Linked DNA regions of Daphnia pulex. The protein of the gene in region 3 binds, or shares a complex with, the protein of the main gene of each other region. Links are inferred from orthologs where the notes say so. Each region holds a gene or a part of one and is shown on either strand. Other genes may lie near its edges. The genes, in order: DNA-directed RNA polymerase II subunit RPB2, general transcription factor IIH subunit 5-like and general transcription factor IIF subunit 1-like.

What was found.
Region 1: general transcription factor IIF subunit 1-like (region 3) and DNA-directed RNA polymerase II subunit RPB2 share a complex: the UniProt entries of both Homo sapiens proteins name them as parts of the TBP-based Pol II pre-initiation complex. The link is inferred for Daphnia pulex from reciprocal best matches to the Homo sapiens genes GTF2F1 and POLR2B.
Region 2: general transcription factor IIF subunit 1-like (region 3) and general transcription factor IIH subunit 5-like share a complex: the UniProt entries of both Homo sapiens proteins name them as parts of the TBP-based Pol II pre-initiation complex. The link is inferred for Daphnia pulex from reciprocal best matches to the Homo sapiens genes GTF2F1 and GTF2H5.

The regions. Positions count from the first base shown.
Region 1 is NC_060022.1:1,079,196-1,086,102, reverse strand, and holds the start of DNA-directed RNA polymerase II subunit RPB2, read right to left. Parts: upstream 3,694-6,907; 5' UTR 3,543-3,693; coding exon 3,524-3,542; intron 3,460-3,523; coding exon 1,974-3,459; intron 1,903-1,973; coding exon 1,356-1,902; intron 1,279-1,355; coding exon 817-1,278; intron 754-816; coding exon 1-753. Other genes in the region: kunitz-type protease inhibitor 1-like, read right to left, coding at 3,962-4,263, 4,357-4,414. UniProt on the Homo sapiens protein: Catalytic core component of RNA polymerase II (Pol II), a DNA-dependent RNA polymerase which synthesizes mRNA precursors and many functional non-coding RNAs using the four ribonucleoside triphosphates as substrates.
Region 2 is NC_060021.1:7,406,094-7,411,696, forward strand, and holds general transcription factor IIH subunit 5-like, read left to right. Parts: upstream 1-3,157; 5' UTR 3,158-3,166; coding exon 3,167-3,259; intron 3,260-3,543; coding exon 3,544-3,651; intron 3,652-3,721; coding exon 3,722-3,811; 3' UTR 3,812-3,839; downstream 3,840-5,603. Other genes in the region: alpha-ketoglutarate-dependent dioxygenase alkB homolog 4-like, read right to left, coding at 1-76, 143-265, 338-460; septin-1-like, read left to right, coding at 866-898, 997-1,102, 1,167-1,253, 1,317-1,440, 1,510-1,644, 1,714-1,831, 1,891-2,000, 2,079-2,216 and 4 more; perilipin-2-like, read left to right, coding at 5,339-5,449, 5,517-5,603. UniProt on the Homo sapiens protein: Component of the general transcription and DNA repair factor IIH (TFIIH) core complex, which is involved in general and transcription-coupled nucleotide excision repair (NER) of damaged DNA and, when complexed to CAK, in RNA transcription by RNA polymerase II.
Region 3 is NC_060018.1:349,023-355,975, reverse strand, and holds general transcription factor IIF subunit 1-like, read left to right. Parts: upstream 1-2,780; 5' UTR 2,781-3,089; coding exon 3,090-3,107; intron 3,108-3,166; coding exon 3,167-3,202; intron 3,203-3,260; coding exon 3,261-3,334; intron 3,335-3,401; coding exon 3,402-3,679; intron 3,680-3,759; coding exon 3,760-4,059; intron 4,060-4,124; coding exon 4,125-4,371; intron 4,372-4,435; coding exon 4,436-4,695; intron 4,696-4,754; coding exon 4,755-4,830; intron 4,831-4,881; coding exon 4,882-5,082; intron 5,083-5,144; coding exon 5,145-5,352; 3' UTR 5,353-5,512; downstream 5,513-6,953. Other genes in the region: regulator of microtubule dynamics protein 1-like, read right to left, coding at 1,310-1,351, 1,423-1,537, 1,602-1,739, 1,801-2,108, 2,168-2,316, 2,378-2,607, 2,671-2,753; uncharacterized protein LOC124188758, read right to left, coding at 5,643-5,780, 5,841-5,931, 5,984-6,085, 6,146-6,275, 6,363-6,477; uncharacterized protein LOC124188749, read left to right, coding at 6,773-6,953. UniProt on the Homo sapiens protein: TFIIF is a general transcription initiation factor that binds to RNA polymerase II and helps to recruit it to the initiation complex in collaboration with TFIIB. It promotes transcription elongation.

The DNA.
Region 1 (6,907 bases), on a different chromosome or scaffold from region 3:
CATCTCTCCGAATCGGAGACCGCCGTCGCGGGCACGACCTTCCATGGGCTGGCGGACGAGGATCTGGACCGGACCTCGGGCTCGAGAGTGGATCTTGTCGTCCACCATGTGCTTGAGACGCTGGTAGTAGGTCGGGCCGAGAAAGACTTGAGCGCTGAGCTTGCGACCAGTGTGGCCGTTGTAGAGCACTTCGTTGCCTCTCAGGTGATAGCCGTACTCTTGCAAGAGGTTCGAGATCTTTTGGACGTTGACGGCGTCGTTGAACGGAGTGGCGTCGCCGATTTCGCCCTTGTTGGCCGACACTTTGCCCTGAAGGCATTCGATCAAGTGACCAATTGTCATACGAGACGGAATGGCGTGCGGGTTAATGATGATGTCGGGAGTCAGGCCCTCGCAAGTGAACGGCATATCCTCCTGGCGGTACTGAATTCCACACGTACCCTTCTGACCGTGACGGGAGGCGAATTTGTCGCCAATCTGCGGGATGCGGACCGAGCGGACGCGAATCTTGCAAAACTTGTTGCCTTCGGCGTTCAACGTCAGCATCACCTGGTCCACAATGCCCGTCTCCGAGTGACGCAGGAAAGTGGAGGCGTCCCGTTTCGAGAACTTTTTAGTGGTGCTCTCCAGGTCGTCGTCGTTCTCCGGAAGAGTGATCGTTTTGCCAATAACCACGTCATCGCCAGACACACGAAGTCCAGGTGCAATGATGCCGTCGTCGTCTAACTTGTCGTAAATGGCATTTCTCATTCCCTAGACGAAAACAAAATGTGATTACCGAAGAAGTTAAAAAATTCCGGAATTCTGATCGGTTACCTGGCAATGATCGCGGAAAGGCTTCTCGAACGTTTCCTCCTGATCGGCCGATCGTTTAGACTCTTGATCTTTGTAGGATCGGAAAAAGACGGAGCGGAAGAATCCTCGTTCGACGGCGGAAGCGTTTATGATGACGGAATCCTCCTGGTTGTATCCGGTGTAGCTGAGAATGGCAACAATCGAATTGATGCCGGCGGGCAACTCTCTGAAGCGCAGGTACTCCATGGAGCGTGTCGTGACCAAAGGTTTCTGAGGGTACTGCAGGACGTGGGCCAGAGTGTCCATCCGGACGTGGAAGTTAGTAATGTACACTCCCATGGCTTGTTTACCCATGGCGCTTTGGTAAGTGTTACGAGGCGACTGGTTGTGATCGGGAAACGGAATAATCGAGGCGCAAACTCCCAAAATCATGGCCGGATGAATCTCGCAATGCGTGTACGTCGTACAGTAGGCGTCTTTACCCTGGATAAACAAAGCAAAACATTCAACGGCTGGATGGGGTGGGGTAGGGAAAGAAAAAATCAATGCAGAAAATTTACCTGGCGCAAGTCCTCGGGCGACATGGCAATCATGGCCGTCTCCTCCTCCAAAGTGTCAATGTACTCGACTACACCAGTGGCCACCAGTTCCTGCCAGCTGAAATTGATGTACTCGCGCTGTTTGAGCATGTCAACGTGGCGCTTCTTCAGCAACAATTTGCAGTTCTCGACGATCAACAATGGACGACAAATACGGCCGGCGTCCGTGTAAATTCGAATTTCACGGTCCTGGATGTCGCGCACCATCGATACTTCAGACACGATAATGTCCATCTGACGACGCAGTTTGCGCAGGGTGGCCATCAACTGCTCCGGGTCGCGATGGATACCCACCCAGCAACCGTTGACGAAAATCTTGGTGGCATCCGCAATGGCAGACGGAGCGATTTCTTCCAAGTTCTCCATGGACCACTCTTCCAAAAACTCGAGGATGGGCGACGGTTGGGAACCGACTGAAATGTAGGCCATCAAAGCCAAATTCTTGACGAGACCGACAGCAGCTCCTTCGGGCGTTTCGGCTGGACAAACCATTCCCCACAGCGTGTTGCTAAAATAGTTTTAAAAAATGTTATGTAATAAACAAAAGCCGATGAAAATAATTTGAAATCAATGACTTACTGGAGCTGACGAGGTTTGGCCAGTTTACCGTCACGACCAATGGGCGAATTGAGGCGACGCAAATGTGACAAGGTCGAAGCGAAAGTCAATCGGTTCAACACCTGAGAGACACCAGCGCGGGCCTGATGGGCTTTTTTCTGGTCTCCCCAATTTCCTGTGGCCAACGAGTAACGGAGTCCGTCGGTGATGATGCGGGTCTTAATGGCCAGTTCCAAATTGAAATCTTTTCCTCGATCGATGAATTTCTGTGCGTACATTCGGACTTCTTTCATGAGAGTTTTGAAAAGGGCTCGGAAGAGGAAAGCCATCAACGGTCCGGCGAGATCCAGACGTTTGTTGCCGTAGTGATCACGATCGTCCAGCTCACGGCGTCCCAAGGCAGCCAGCAGCAAGCGATGGACCATGTAGCCGAGGAAATAGGCTTTCTTCGTCTCGCAAAAGTCGGACACACCAACGTGAGGCAACATTTCCTTTTGGAGAATCTCACGGGCGTACTTGATACGCTTCTCTTTGGTGACACCAGGCCTGGCACCGCGAGCACCGATGAAATTCAAGGCAACATTCTGCTCCTGGATGACGAAGGCTTCGTCCAGCGAAGGTTTCACCATTTCCATCATTTCGGGGTCTTCAAAGTCGTAGATGATGTGCTCGAGAATATCTCGATCGGCCACGAAACCTAAGGCTCGGAACACAATCATAATGGGAATTTCTTGCTTAATGTAGGGCAGAATGGCAATGATACGCTGGCCGATGGCGGATTTCTTGATGCCCTGACCACCACGTGCCAACATGTTGACGTACAAGGTGGAGGTTGGACGTGACGAGTGTTCCAAGCAGGAACGAATTTCTGTCTTGTAAGCGAATTTGCCGTCCTTCATGCTGAAGACATACACTGTATTTGTGGCCATCTTCTCTTGAGCAATCAATACTTTTTCTGAGCCGTTGATGATAAAATATCCACCAGGATCGAGAGGGCATTCATTCAATTCACACAAATCACGATCATTCATTCCATTCAGCAGGCAATAAGTGGATCTCAACATGATAGGAATTTTGCCAATGAATGTTTTCTGATGCTGTGTCTCGACCTGCTCTTCCCCTTCTTTGTGCACAGTTTTCGTGATATCAACATACAACGGGGCAGAGTAGGTGAGATTTCTTAGTCTTGCTTCATTAGGCATCATGGCTGTCGGAGCACCATCTTTCTCCCAATGTGTAGGTTTCGAGAGGTAAATCTGCTCAAATTTTAGGACATATCTCGGAGGGTTTTCTACTTCCCCCGAAGAATGCTGGGCTTCTGCCTGAAGGTCAATGGCAGGTGAATCTTCAACAATTCTTTGTACAGACATCTGAATAAATTCATCAAACGAATCAAGCTGTTGTCGCACAAGACCTTTTTCATCGAAATATGCGTTGATGACAATCCAACAGGCTTCTTGCCAAAGCTCTGAAGAGATTTCCTCGCCATCTTCATCCTCGATCGGATCTTAAGTAAAAGACACGTTAGAATGAGAAAAAAATGTATGAATATCATCATATTTTGATGTTACCTTCGTCTTGATCGTACATTGTGTTATTATACGAATCGACAAATTAATTATGAATTAGAAAACGACTGCAATGTAAAGATTCGTTGGCCTTTGCAGCCGGCAGTCGACTTTCGTTCACTGTTGTCGCACTTGTCGGAAAAACTCAATTTCGACATCTGCCGGCCAAATCGAAAATGAGACGCAAGGTGGCGTTGCCGGATATATTTTAATTTCGCCGGTTTATTTAAAAGTCGGTAAAAAAATATTTTCTTTAAAACACGAAACAACTCGTATTGTGTGAGTAAATAAGAAGTGTATTCAAAATTAATTTTAACTGAATAATATAGATTACATTGAAAGACAATCCATGTGATCAATGTAAGAACAATTCTTTAAATTACTTTTTAAAATAAAAGAATAACAACGTTGTGCTAGAGAAAAGCATTTTACATCAATTGATTACTTGCCAAGAACGAAATATCTGAATTTCTGCAACGAGGGATATTGCTGGAAGTCCTCAACGCTCTCGTAGCTGTCGAAATTATCTTGATCACAGCGCAATTCGCAAAGGTCTTCGCTGGCGAATAGATTTTCAGATCCTCCACAGCCAGTGTAGAAAATCTTTTCACAATCCCTGGTAGCAGAGTCGTAGTACCACTTGATGGAAAATTGATTGCAACGCACTTTGGGGTTGAGTGGTGGCAAGAGACAAACCGGATCCAATGGTCGTTGAGCAAATACCGGTACTGGGACCGCCAATTCTATTCAAATATATTCATAAATCGTAAAAGAGCATTGCTTGAAAAAGCCCATGTTACATAAAACTAAAATTTTAGATTTAAAAAATCACTTACGAGGAGCAGCAGAGGAGAAAGCGACGAGGCAGAGCATAACGACGAACGTAGCCGACATTTTCCGGTTGAAGTTTATGGAGTTGAATGGAGCAAATGGGAAAAACCTTCTTCTGCTTTCGACTGAAGAAGGAAGGAGTCGACCGGCTGGTACTTATAGTCCCGCTAGAGATAATTACAGCCCTGCAATCGGGCATTATAGCTGGAAAAAACATGAATTTGACCTTTCGCGATGTAACCAAAATAAAAATAACCGCTTAATCATTCACCCCTAAAGGAAGAGAAAAGAGAAAAGCGCGCATCGCAAAAGAATTAAACACACACATATCGATAACCGGTTTGTACAGTTCATCATCTTGATCATTGTCTTCCTTTGAAAAATATATGCACGACATGATTGCACAATTATTTATTTAGCTCCGGGCTCTTTATATCAGAATTTCAAATGTACTTACTTAAACATAAGCTCGGAATTATAGAGAGAATTCGAATTGGCTTCGAATTTTATGTTTTCCGTTTTATTTGTATAATTTATATTGATTTGATTCATTTATTGAATTAAATTAAATTTTAATTGTAAACCAACTTGATTATATTAAAACTGAAAAAATGTATTCTAATCAAACTTCAACTGTATTTATATCGGATTACATGGGAAGTTAACAAAAAAAGATAACTGCGGATTGAGAAAAATGTCAACAATAATAAGTTGGTACAGTATAACCTGGATTGAAATTCAACAAACACATCAAACTGAAAAAAAATTATTGCACGATTGAAACAGAGCATGAAAAAAGATGTGCGTTGCAATTAATCCCAATAGCGCCCGAAGACCTCGATGCTCTCGTGACTGTTCAATTGATCGTGGACATTTTCGCAGCGGAGTTCGCAGGCCAATTCGGAGTTGAAAACATTTTCAGTGGCGCCGCATCCGGAATAAAGGAAATCTTCGCAGTCGCCATCGACCGGATCGAAATAGTACTTGACGGAGTAGTTATTGCAGTTTTGTGTAGAATCAGCAACTGGAGGCAATAGGCAAACGGGGTCTAATTGAAGGACTGGAACGGCAGCTCGTTCTGTCAAAATTTAAAAAATGAAAAGCCAATTTCAATTAAACAGCTAGATTTTATGTTCTAATAATATTTTAATGATTTAACTTACGGGGAGCAGCCGAAGCGAAGGCAACAAGACAGAGCAGGATAATGAATGACATTTTCAGTTTGAAAATTACTGGATATTGCGAGTAATAAGTGGTTGTACTGAGCAATATCTGCGTTCGACTGAGGAAGATGTGTCGGATGGCGGGTTTTTATAGGTCGGGTCTGCGACTGGTCACACCTTTTCCGTAACTGGCAAATTCCAGAAGTCTTCGCCAGCAAGTCATCCTTGAAAAAAAAAATTATCAAGCTTGATCATCAACAAGTTGTCCACAGGGTGGAGAATAAGCAACATCACGATTTTAGATACATCTAAAAACGAAGCGCATAAACAGCAAACTGGTTTACATGTTCTCAAAATTTTTCGGCGTCTTCGATTCAAGAGAGAAAGAACAGGTTCCGCACATTTTTCTTATTCGCTATGTTATTTTTACTGGGCGAAATCGGAAAACATAGAAACTTATGTTCAGTTAAAGTACCGAATAATTTCTATTGTGCAGCATTATTCGCTGTATCATCAGTTGACTCTACTGTTAACTTTAGTGCATAGGTAAAAATATTTAAATAAGATTGTCTTATGTTACATTTAAAAATCATTAATTTCGTATCTGATAACAGTTTCTGCTAGGTGATGCTTGGTTCTTAGTTGGCTGAAAGCCAGAAAAGGACCAGTCATTTAATTTGCCTGAACACAGTCTATATATGTAATATGCCCAAACGAGAAAAGAAAAAAAGGCTTTTTGGTGTGGATGGCCTTTGATTAATCAAAATGTAAGACGCACTAGGACGAGGTGGGAAAAAGGTCCCGAAAAATACGTTTTTTCTGCCTTGTGTGAAGGACTGGTTTAGCTGCCTGCTGCCTTCAATATCCTGGAATCAGACACGGTTAAACTCTTTCGCCGCTAGTCAAATGCTGTTTTCAAAGAAACATTTCCATACGTTGCACAATAAATATCTGTCAAAAGTCAAATGCAAGGAACGCGAATAATTTTCCAGCGAATAATTTTGTGAATCGTTAAGTCACGACGCCCTTGAAATTTGTCATTCAATTGCCCAATTCATTTTCTGTTGCTGATCAGGTGACTCGCTACAGTTTTGGTAATTTCTCACATTGAAACACTTTCAAGGTGAAATTATATTTAGTCACCAGTACCTAAGTAATACTTAGGTACTTTAAAGCTAAATTCATCCCACCCCCCTCAGTAAAGTAAAAAATCAAATTACCTTTCTAAAAACAAACTTCCAGTTTTTTAAAAAAAGTTATTGTTTTACAGATTTGGAAATTGCGGTAAAAACTTGTTCTCTACGAACCGCCGTCTCGGCCGTCGGCCCCTTTTTTGATGAAAAAAAAGGGGGGGCCTTGAAAACTTGGCAGAGAAAACGCCCAAATGTCTAAA
Region 2 (5,603 bases), on a different chromosome or scaffold from region 3:
TAACAGAATACTCCCAAGGAATAGAGTCAAATGAACTCATGAGTTTAACCATTTCTTCTTCACTGAAAAAATCTTGCTGTTAATCACAGATTAAATTTAGAAGATTTGTTGAACAATGTATAGACTAAAAGCTGAATTTTACCTGAATGTAAATCCCAGGAAATTCAATTGGTTCACCACGATGGTTTGGATGATGTGTTGGATCAAAGTCCCAACCTGGCCAGGCTAAATTACAAGCTGGGCAAAACACATACGATTGAATCCCCTGAAATTATAGAGTTGATTTATCAACATGAAACTTAGAAAGCAGAAGACACATTTAAAATTTTTAATATACTTTTTCTTCCAGCGACTCTGCTGTAAATGAGTCATCCTTAAAAGGTAATAGATTAAATTCTTTTTCACATAGCAAGCAAGAGCGGTACCCTTTGCATCCACAAGGACGTGGTTTACCTGACATCGTTTATAGTTTGTTAACAAAACGTTTACTTCCGAACTTTTTTAACTGTCAACAAAAGTCAACGCAAACGAAATTAAGGAACACATGACAAAAAAATCGTCTGCTGACTGGTTGAAGTTTCCAGCGTTGAAGTTTTTTGATTTTGTGTTACATTCTTCTTTTTCTAATAATAAATTGCGATCTAATAAGATGATTCATTACACAAATTTTTTTCCTTTTTTATTTTTTTGTCTTTTTAAATTCAAAATTCATGAAATAACAAGAGCGTTTTGGGTCGTACACACCCATAAGATTGCAGCGCCGCCACTACGGTTTTCGGTCGTGGACTTGATATTTGATAACTGTCACTCTGTTTTTTGATTATTTTTATCTTCTTCAAACTCTTGTTTATATTATCTTCATATAATGTCTGCTGAGTCAATTAAAAATCCTGGCGGGGTAACGGTTATTTGTTTTCTTAATTTTTTCGTGCGATTTGTTTACTGTCTAAATGAAACACGAATGATACTTAAACATGTACTCTCTTATTGAAACAGTTTACCAACCCGGAAATGCCGGGATACGTAGGGTTCGCGAATTTGCCTAACCAAGTTCACAGAAAATCTGTTAAAAAAGGGTTTGAGTTTACTCTGATGGTTGTCGGTAATGACAAAGCAATTGTATTTCATGTCATCAACTCTAAAGATTTTTATTTTGAATCCATTAGGAGAAACTGGGCTTGGCAAGTCAACACTAGTCAATAGTTTATTCTTGACTGATCTTTATCCTGAACGAAATATTCCATCAGCTGGAGGTTGGTGCTTAGAATTTAGCTAGAAAATGCTTCAACGGTCATAATAGAATAATTTTTTCACAGAACGCACAAAGCAGACAGTCAAAATTGATGCTTCTACTGTGGAAATTGAAGAAAGGGGAGTCAAGCTCCGCCTTACAGTGGTTGATACACCTGGATTTGGAGATGCTATTGATAATACAGATTGGTAATGAAAAAAAATCACTTTTTAAGGCCCATTTTTGATTTAATTTTAAATTGTCTTAATTTTGTTTAGCTTCAGATCAATAATTCAGTATATTGATGACCAATTTGAGCGTTTCCTGCGCGATGAGAGTGGGTTAAACCGCCGTAACATAGTCGATAACCGGGTCCATTGCTGTTTCTACTTCATTTCTCCATATGGACATGGGTATGATAGATTCCACTCGTGATTCAACTAGATTTCACAGAATGTATTGGCTAATCTTTTCCTAAATAGGCTTAAACCCCTTGATACGCAATTTATGAAAATGCTGCATCACAAAGTCAACATCGTGCCTGTAATCGCTAAAGCAGATATGCTAACAAAGAAAGAAATTGCTCGGTTGAAGAAAAGGGTAAAATTGTGACCAACATTTAGATTTATTATAAACTTGTTTAACTAAAAAATTATTAGGTCATGGAAGAAATTGAGGCAAACGGAATTCGTATTTACCCACTTCCCGATTGCGATTCGGATGAAGACGAAGACTACAAAGAGCAAGTTCGTCAGCTTAAAGACGCAGTGTATGTAATAATTCATTCAGACTAATAACAATTATAATTCATTCATAATAATAATAATAATATAATTCATTTATTCAGACCTTTTGCTGTATGTGGGGCCAATACGTTGATTGAAGTTAAGGGCCGAAAGGTCCGCGGACGGCAGTATCCATGGGGTGTCGTTGAAGTTGAAAATCCTGAACACTGCGATTTCATTAAACTCCGAACGATGCTGATGTAACTTGTTTGACTCGTCAAAGATCGAAAATCTTGCATTGCACTAACGTTTAATTCTTTCATTATTTAGTCAACAGCTACAAGATTTACAGGAAGTAACACAAGATGTTCACTATGAGAACTACCGATCAGAACGTCTTGCTAAAGGTGTAGCTTCGAATCGAAAAACCGCTGGGCCAACTAATTCCACCGCGCCATCGGCTGCTCCGGAGCAGATTAGTGAGAAAGAAAAAATACTTCAGGTTAGTAACTATTGTGTTATTAATAGACAATGGAAATAGTGTTTCGACCGTTTGCATCATTGTTTTGTTCTCACAGGAAAAAGAGGCGGAGCTACGACGTATGCAACAGATGTTGGCTCAAATGCAAGCACAAATGCAACAACAACAACCTCAATAGCACTGTGCGTCGTCTTTAACAGCAATTTTCAGTTGTCACTTAAACCAAAAGGAATTCTTCTCTACTGTTTTGACTGTTTATTCAGCTTTGATTGCTGTTTCAACACCCTTGGCACTCTTACCTTCCAATGTGAAGATCTTAGGTTTCCTCGATAAAATCCCATTCAAGTGCCAACATTTAACAAATTCGCTGTGCTTCATTATTTGGTCACTTCACTAGTAATTTTCCTCATTTGCGTACATTCGAATTTTTCTTCCATGTAGGGCAATTAAAGCCCAGATGCGCCTCGAATATCCTACCCAATCATTTTCTTTTTAGTGTCTCGGACTCTCGGTACTGGTCGCAGTATTTCAATATACAATTTTTTCAGACTCTTGCTTCCTTTTTCCCATTAAAAGATTTAATTTTTCTTAGTTTTCTTGAAGTGAAACCAAACCTTTATGAATGGAAGTCTTGTAAATTTTTATATAATGCGCCAACAAACTCCTTTCCCGCTCAATTTAAGACGCCACCTACCGACGCCAATCAAAAGCTGGAAGTGCTGAAAGAAGATGCCAAAAATCCAAAATGGTGATCAGACGATCAGTTACTTACTTACTTTTTACCAATGGGGCAAGATGGTAAACGTAACTAAAGGAATTCTGGTAATAATTTACGGTAAAACTTATAAATGCCACTTGATTTATTATATCTTTGTATTTGAAGTATGGTATTTTAACTTACTTCAATCACTAGTGAAATTGACTGTGCTGGTAAAAGTTTCTTGTCAGAAAGAAAGCACAAAATATTCGATCGGACTATCCCGTGGAAATAGTCATAGATTTAGAAATTAATAAGTATCTCAGGTGGCAACTTATAATGGTTTACCTTTTCTTTACATGGTGCTTAATTGTTAAATTTATACTTGAATTTGTATTATTACCCAAAGGTTGAATGTGATGCTGCTATGAAACAATTGCTTCTTCATTTAGACGAGACACATGCTCTAGGCAACAAATTCATAGTTCAAGATTTGGATGAAACTCACGTTTTCATTGTAAAATTTAAAAAATACTTCTATTTTCTCATATTTTGTATTTTTATCTTTTTGACATTTTCTCTGTTAGGCACCTGAATATCTGGAAGTTTTGCAGTCTAGAATTGATGATTTGATGGACAGGATCAGTTTTCCTTTGGCAGAAAGAGAAATCGAGTAAATTATCTATCATCATGAATTCATCTCAGAGAGAGTCAGCCCGTCAGAAGGATGCCAATTCCAGAAGGGTTTTGGATGAGGCAGCTCGTAGGAGAAGAGCAAGGAAAGCATTGGAAGCACTTGAGCAAGATAATTTTCATGATGACCCTCATGCCAATTTAGGTATTTTTGTAAGTTGGCTAGTTTTCAGATCTTTCATTAATTCTGGATATTTATGCAGTACTAAGCAAAAAGATCCCCAAGTTTGAAGAGTCTCTTGATGGTAAACAAACAAGAAGAAGGAAATCTAAAAATTTCGAAATTTTCAAACAACGGTATTTTGTTTAATATTAATTGCTGAAACGAAGTGTAATTCTATTGAAGTAATTTCTCCTCTTTTACAGGTTTCGAAAATCCTTTGCACAGCTGTTGGAGGAAGAACAGGTTAATCGCCCAGAGCCCCCAAATTATGTTTCAGCTCAAGTTCCACCATCTAAGTTTCCCGAACGTCATTTTTGTGCTGTTTGTGGATTTACTTGTAGTTACACCTGTTTATCTTGTGGCGCAAGGTACTGTAGCGTCAAATGCTTAGGTACTCATCAAGACACGCGTTGCTTGAAGTGGACCGCCTAATAATATTCCATTGCTTTCTTACTTGTCATCTCATCAATAAACCCTTTTCGATTATACTTTTTCTTATTAAATGAACAAATAAATCAGCGCTCCTCTAACTATGATTAAAGTGTATTAAAATGCTCATATAAAAATCCTTTTGATTTTGGGCAAATTATAAATATGGAGCAACAGCACAAATTACATGAAGCTCGGTAGTCCTAGAAAATTTCATTTGCTGAAGCCTGAAGGCTTGATTATTAAGGAGGTAGGGGGCAATGCACGTGTTGGGGAAGAGGGTTGAAAAGACAGTCACAACAAATACTTAGAAAATGACACGAGGCGACGAAATACATAAGCCTATAAATGACCTTGATAGTACGTCTGAATAACGCTAAAGAAACTCGACCCCTTTTTATCAGATCGAATGGTTTCTCCTTTTCTTCCCATCCTTCTTGCACTTGCGTCCCATTTGTCGCATTTCAGGCGCATTTATTTTAGTATATATATTCGTCGAGATCTCGTTTCTTCATTCAGTCATCGTGTTCCGTCGTCTTGAGTGGATCTCTCCAGAGTTCCAGCGTCTACGGTATACAATTAGCGTGAGTCTGTTTTATTTTAAATACAATAAGGTAATAGAAATTGATTGATGTTTAATTAAGCTGTGTATAAATAAGTTGTATTAGAGTACTTTGTTTTAGTTTCTGGAGTTGCAATTAGAGTTAAATAACTGAGAATTTATTAAATAAGAAATTGTTTCACTTTGGAGTGTTGATAAGTGAGAAATTAGTCATAAAAGTTAACAGTATGCTATTTATTCGTATTTATTACGATGTTTATTTTTTAAGTGATCATGCATCATAAATATCATCTTAAAGGGAAAAGAAACAAGGGCAAGCAAGCACCACAAACACCAGCAGCACCAAACTTCAAGAAGATGGTTCATTCTGACATCCCACAAACCCCAGAGTTCATCTCTCGAGTTGCCAATCTTCCTGTTGTTCACTCTGCTATTGACTATGCTTCTGATGCATACATCAAAGCCAAGGTAAAATTTTCAAGTAATCTTGTGTGTCTCTGTGATCGTGATTCTTACATGTATAATATAATTGCAGGATTACAGCCCGTCGCTGATCAAAAAGACATGGTCTACCGCCGAAGACACTATAAACTATGCTGCTAGTTGTGTTTTGCCGATCGTT
Region 3 (6,953 bases):
ACGACATGGCATTAAAATGATTTCTGGGAAAACTACACGCGTTTGGCTACATGGCGACATGTAAAAACCAGATTTTTCTTGTCTACAACAACTATCGATTCACATTTGCGTATCATCGTGGACCATTTCATGTTTAAAAAATCCCCCCGTTGGCCTGAAGTGAAATAGCTTTGAAAATAAGACATTCTACCCAGACATATCATTCTTTCTCTTTGGGTGCATTTCATTTTCGGCCATATAAGTGTCGATCCGTCTTCTTCCAGCGCGGCGTTTTCCAATTGGCCAGTCTCGGTTGGATAACCGTAGGGGTTACGTCACGCGGACCCGTAAAACTATCGATGCGTAACAACACAGTCTGAGTGCCGGGACGTTTCAACGTGTAGGCAAATAACTGTTGGCTCTCACGAAACCTCTCCTTAAATTTCCCTATTAGGAATTGTGTGCGCATATTCCAACAGGTGAACTCCCCGTCCTGGGCCCCTCAAGGCTCGTGCGCAACGCGGGACTTTCCCTCTGAAATAGTAGCTTCCACTTACACCTACACACAATGCCAAAGTGTGTCATATACTATTGCCTTCGTTTTATCTCTACCCGCACGAATTGTATACGCAGTTGGTTATCTGTTGATTTACAGACGCCAGACGAACGAACCAGTTCGGTTGCCATACAACCAGGCGGAGTTGTACACAATTTTAGATTCCAAGCAGACACACACACGAATGATAGTGAACGAAAATAATCGAGGACTTACTTTTCACGTGATCGCCAAACAGACTGCCAGAAAATTTCCACAACCACCTGTTTTGCCTAATTAAAGAAAACAGGATTTTCTTTTAGTTGAATCCAACAGGGAAGAGATGAAACAAAGTAAAAACTTGTAGAAACAAACTCCTGACCTAGCAGACACAGTCAAATAAACAAGTCCACAAGCTCAGAACTACACGAAGCAACTCACAATGCCGACGGACCGTCACGTACAGATAACACATACGTCGTATCCTTTCCCTTCATATGGCTGGCGGGGATTCTAGCTCGGCACATTTCGGGCTGTGGTGACACGCAACGCTACCTATCGGACCTATCGAGAACAAGTGAATGAACTTTGTATTCGTAAACACGCACGGGGAAATTTGGGAAACTGTTGCACTATTGCATGTTGTACCGATAACACACACACAAGGAAATCATTTAATAATAAAAAAACAAACATTTTTGATTAAATTTCAAGGTAAACAGAAGAGGCGCATACATTTTTCTTTATGTGGAAGGATATGGGTAAATATCCTCGAGCGTCCTTGGAGCCAGCGGCCTATCTGATGGAATTTAATAGCTTGACTGCCTCGTGTTTGGCCTATGATATCAATGTAAAACCATTTTTATCAAACAATAAAATGTAGAAAAGGTTAATGCGTTATATGTCACCTCCAAATCTTCTGACGAGGCGATAGCATAATCTCGAGCTCTGGTCAAATAAGCGATAGCTTTTTCTTTATTGTTGAGCCGCAAATATGTTTTCCCCAGCATCAATAAATTCGTACTGAAACGAAACCATTCAAAATGCACAATTATTTAGAAAAATGAAAAATTAAACCAAGCCGTACCTGTAAAAATTCGGCTCAACTTCTTCCGCTCTTAGGAAATACTGCAGTGCCTCTTCGTAAGAAGATACGGGCGGTGTAGCAAACAAGGTTGAGGCAATTTGCCTCTGAAGCCACGGCAATTCAGCAACAGAAAAGCACCTAAAGTTGCACGAAAATGTGTTACGTTACATACAAAAGAAAAGTTGTTATCTTGTCATACCAGTAGCCTAGCAAATGAAATGAAGTTGCATCCTTTGGGTTGAGTTCACACGCTCTTTCTATGTGTTTCTTGACGACAAACGATTGAGAAATGCGCTCCTTTAAGCCCTCGTAGGACGCCTTTTTATCTAACAAAATAAACATCCACTTGTGAGCAGCAAAGTTTTCCGGATCAATGAGCAGCGCCCCTTCAACATAACCGTATGCTTCAAAATCTAATTCTTTTTGTTCAATTGGACTGGACGATAATTTCGCTACTTCATACGTCGCTCGTGCCAGTCGCCAAAGAATTTCGGCATTATCTTCGGCCTAAAAAAAGTTTTTCCAACATTAAAACAGAGACTGACAAATCAGTTTATTCTTATTACCTTGTAGGGCAACAGAAGACTTCTCAATTTGGTGTAGGAATGCTCATTGTACAAGACATCAGCTTCAGAAATAAGATTGGTCTTATTTTCTCTTTCTTCATCAACTTTTACACTAGCAGAGACTGCAGGTAACAAACCCAGCATCCATCCTGCAGATTAACAAGTTATTGATTGTTTTTGTTACATGAATTCAAAAATTAGGCAACTTACCAATGTTTCTTGAAACTAGAGCTGGTTTCTTAGGAACAACATTCAGGAATCTTTTCCTGTACACAACAAATGCATGGTAAACTATTCCATATATTTTTCTCCCAGAGAACGATAACACCATGACGAACGCTTTCCACAACAGAAAGAAAATAAATGACGAAAAACGAATTAGGCAGTTGAGAATAGATAGGTAATCTAATTCCATGGCGACCAAAATTGGAACTAACGAACTTCAATAGTTGAAAAATGAATAATCATTTACTTTACTTGTAATATTACTTAACAATTTAGACCTCTTTATAAAAAAACTTTTTGATTGGCCATTTTTGGATATTTTAATAAGGTAAGTGAGAAATAGCCTTTCACAATTTATCATGTGGTTCAAGGCGGGAAGTCGACAGTGCAGTCTCGACGTGAAAAGAAAAGAACTGAAGCAGACGAAAACTGAACTGGGTCGTCGTCGACTATTTTTCTTCAGTATCGGGTCGGGTATAAAATTCGTTGGCGCTGTTTAAAGTGTCCCAATATTTTTTGGCATAGAAATTTCGATCACCACCCCTTAATTTTGGCCTATAATTTAGTAACGTGCATAGTTGGGTTAGTTATTTACCATTCGTGACGAACTTGTGACGAACACATCGGTGGTGTGTCTCGATCATTGTGTCGCCGGTGAGAAGTTGTTTTGTCAATCGTTTTTCACCGTCACATCATAATGTCTGCTGTTAACAAGGTACAATTTTTTTGTCTTCTCAATCAGTTAATTCAATATTAATACATGTGTTTCTCAAGACTCCTACTGGTGGATCAACTCCTGCTGCTACCAGGGTAAAGACATTTTGGTTTTTAATTAATTAGTTCAACATAATAATATGTGTTACATTAGACTCCAGCTGCTGGTGGATCAGCTCCTGCCGCTGCTGCTTCTAATGTTCAGACTATTGACATTCGAGTCCCCAAGTAAGAATATCAGACATTACCATCTAGATTTTTGCCTTCTTAAACCGAGTTTATAATGTTGTCACAGGAACATAAACAAAAAGCTTGCCATCATGAGATTCAATGGCTCAATGGGTATTGACTTTGTACAATGGAAAGATCCAAAAATGGAAAGGGAAAACAACCAAGTCACATTCAAAGGGTTCAATGAAGATATGCCAAAGTTTGGTGCTGGGAGTGAATATGGCAGAGAGGCTCGTGAGGAAGCTAGACGGAAGAAGTATGGCATAATAAGCAAAAAGTATAATCCTGAAAACCAGCCTTGGATTTTACAACATGGGGGAAAAAGTGGGAAAAAGTTCAGAGGTATACTAAAGTTGGAAACCAAGCTAAGATAGCAATAAGAAAGTTTAGTAATGTGCAATTATATTTATTTTATTAAACAGGAGTAAGAGATGGTGGCATTAATGAAAATGCATCGTACTACGTTTTTACGCAAGCACCAGATGGTGTGTTTGATGCCTTTCCTGTGCAAGAACAATACAGTTTTCAAGCAGTTCAAAATTACAAACCACTGAGTATTGAAGAAGCAGAGGAAGGGTACAACATGAGGAACAAAACATACAACATGTTCAATGTCATGATGAGAAAGAGACTAAGGAAAGACGATGAAGACGCCGAAGAAGAGGGCGAGGAAGAAGGTGAAGGCAAAGGAAAGAAAGGCAAGAAAAAGAAGGGAGCTAAAGGTAGGCAACAAGCAAAAGTTCCACCATAAATAATGTCACAAAATTATAACAACTTTTGCATTCAGATTCTCGTTTTGGTGATGAATTGGACGATATGATGGCATCTTCCGATGACGATTCTAGCGACGGCAATGATGATAACGACGACGATGATGGAGAAAGTAAGAAAAAGAAGAAGAAAGGCAAGAAACCTGTTAAGCCGAAGAAGAAGCGAAAGAATGCGTCCGATGATGAAGCTATCGAAGATAGCGATGATGGTGATGGTGAAGGCAGAGAGTTGGATTACATTTCCTCTTCCGACGATGACGAAAGGTATGTCATTAATCTTGATGCATTTGTCGATTTTCTAACACACCCGCGTTGTTCTTTAATCTAGTGATTTCGAGAAAGAAGAAGCAAAGGACGGACTAAAGGGTGTTGCCGAAGAGGATGCTCTCCGCAAGTTGCTTAACTCGGACGAAGAAGATGAAGACGAAGAAAAGGAGGAAGAAGAAGACAAAGACAAAGAAGAGGAAGATGCTGAAGGTGCCGAAGACCAGCAAGGTGATAAGGCTTCCAAAGACGAAAAAGGCGACAAAAAGAAGAAGAAAGAAAAAAAGAAGAACAAGGATAAAAAGCCCCGCAACGAGGATTATGGTAATATCCATTTAAAAACATCGTGTGTTTGAGTCAAATAATAACGAAACATTTATCAGGATCGTCAAGCGACAGCGGTGCCGAGAGCTCAGCATCCGAACTGGAGAAAGCTAAACCGAGCCCAAAAATGAAACCGTAAGTGCAGTAATTTGGTTTCCTGACAGTTAACTGACAAACTATTTCTAGGGGGAGTGCCAACAGTTCTAGATCAGCTACTCCGACGAAACCTGAAACATCGCCGCCTAAAACAACGCTATCAGATAGCAAGCGAAAGGGAACACCTGCAGTGTCCGATGCTCTTACTGGCCAAGCAACAAAGAAACCTCGATTGGACATGGCATCCGCTGCTTCAGCTGCCTCTGCCGCTTCAGCTGCATCATCATCTAGGTATTTATAAATAATGAACTAAAATTAATCCTGAAACGTTATGTATATTTTTTCTTTTACAGTGCCAATGAAGGAGTCAATGAAGAGTCTGTTAGACGTTATTTATCCCGCAAGCCAATGACAACGACCGAATTGCTTCAGAAGTTCAAAAGCAAGAAAACTGGTTTGTCGTCGGACCAGCTTGTCCATCACATTGCACAAATTTTGAAGAAGATCAACCCCGTGAAGCAGACAATTAAAGGGAAGATGTATTTGTCGATTAAGGCTTAGCGACAATAACGATGATTGGTGTGTTCTGTTTGTGCTGCAATCACTATTGCTACTTTACTGAAATTATCTCAGGCCTTCCCTTTACGGTTTATAAAAACGGACTAGAACGGTTGTTAAAATGCGTGATTTTCGGAACGATTAAACAAATTTGCAGTTGTAAGTTTTGGTATTATTTCAACAAGTTATCTGTTATTGGAAACACTTCACATTTTTAGATGAAAAACAGCCATTGAACTGACAAGTTAACATTTCTTGGTGGTGAGCAAGGTGCTGGATATTCGTTCAGAATACTATAGAGAGAAAACTTGAAGTCGCTTTGACATGTCTGCTTCGTCGTCTGTGCAAGCCCTTTTCGCGTTTTCAATCAAGAATTCAATATCTTTCTGATAATCGGCGGAATATTCGGCGACACTTTCGACGGAGAATTTCTGGACTCGGAAAATAAACATTAAAAGTGTATCAAAAACTACAAACATAAAGTAACCTACATTAGCAGCTTCTTTCATATAATTTGCAGCAGCTTTCCAGGATGGAGCAAATCCAAATGATACAGTCTTATTCATGACCATTGTCTCAATACTAAGAATTGGATACTTTAGTTTCAGCACAAATTTTATCATAACATGCAAACCTTCTTTGAATATCATATGTGACAGAAATCAAGAGTTCATCAACTTGTGGACATAGATATATAAAGTGAGGTCCATCATTGGTATTGACAAATTTAGTTAGCCTAATTAACACAAAGTTGAAATTCTGCAGTTAAAGAAGTATGCATGAATCAAACACTCACCAATTAATTTTCTCCTCATCGTAGGCTTCATCTTCTGTCCAGTGCTGAAAGTAACATTTAAAGTCGATAAGCAGGAATGTGGCTTGGGATGCTGGGAAATAGCAAGAGAATGGCACCAAGCTTTCTGAGTCTGACCAAATGGATTCAATATTAGTTAACATACCTTAGTATCGGTAAGTGATTATATTATTATTCATTCTTTAGCTCACTATCTTACAATGTATTTGAAAAGATCGTTCGAGTCTTTCTATAAGTACGTCGTTATTCAATTCATTGTGAAAAATGGCAATGGGTTTATTTTTCCACATATGATTTTCCTTGATAAGAAGCATTTCTGACAAAAATGACGAGAACTAAAAAAGAAAGATTCAAAATTTCAAATCTTGAATGTCAAGACTCAAGAGCTCGGTCTGTATAGCTGTCTCACTCGCGCTCTGTTATTAATCTAAAAATTCCAGCAGATGTCTCTAGTGAACGGTTGTCGTCTGCACTTGTTCAGTTGTTTGTTTTTTATCAAAGTCGTCTACTCTATACTTTCTCTTCCCAGAATCTATTTGACAGAATTGGAATTTCCAAAGGAATTGTGCAATTAGCAGAATTTCAAGGGAATTTCCGATTAATGTAGAAATGGAATCTTTAGCTGATTCTACGTGTAATCTTGCAATTAAAGAAGTACAAGCAAGTTTAGACGACGAAGATGCCGATATAATTTTGAAAACAAACGATGGGACGTTGAAAGCTCACAAATTCGTTCTCAGGGGTTGCCCATATTTTGCAGCAATCGTCGATGGAAACTGGAGAGAAAGTC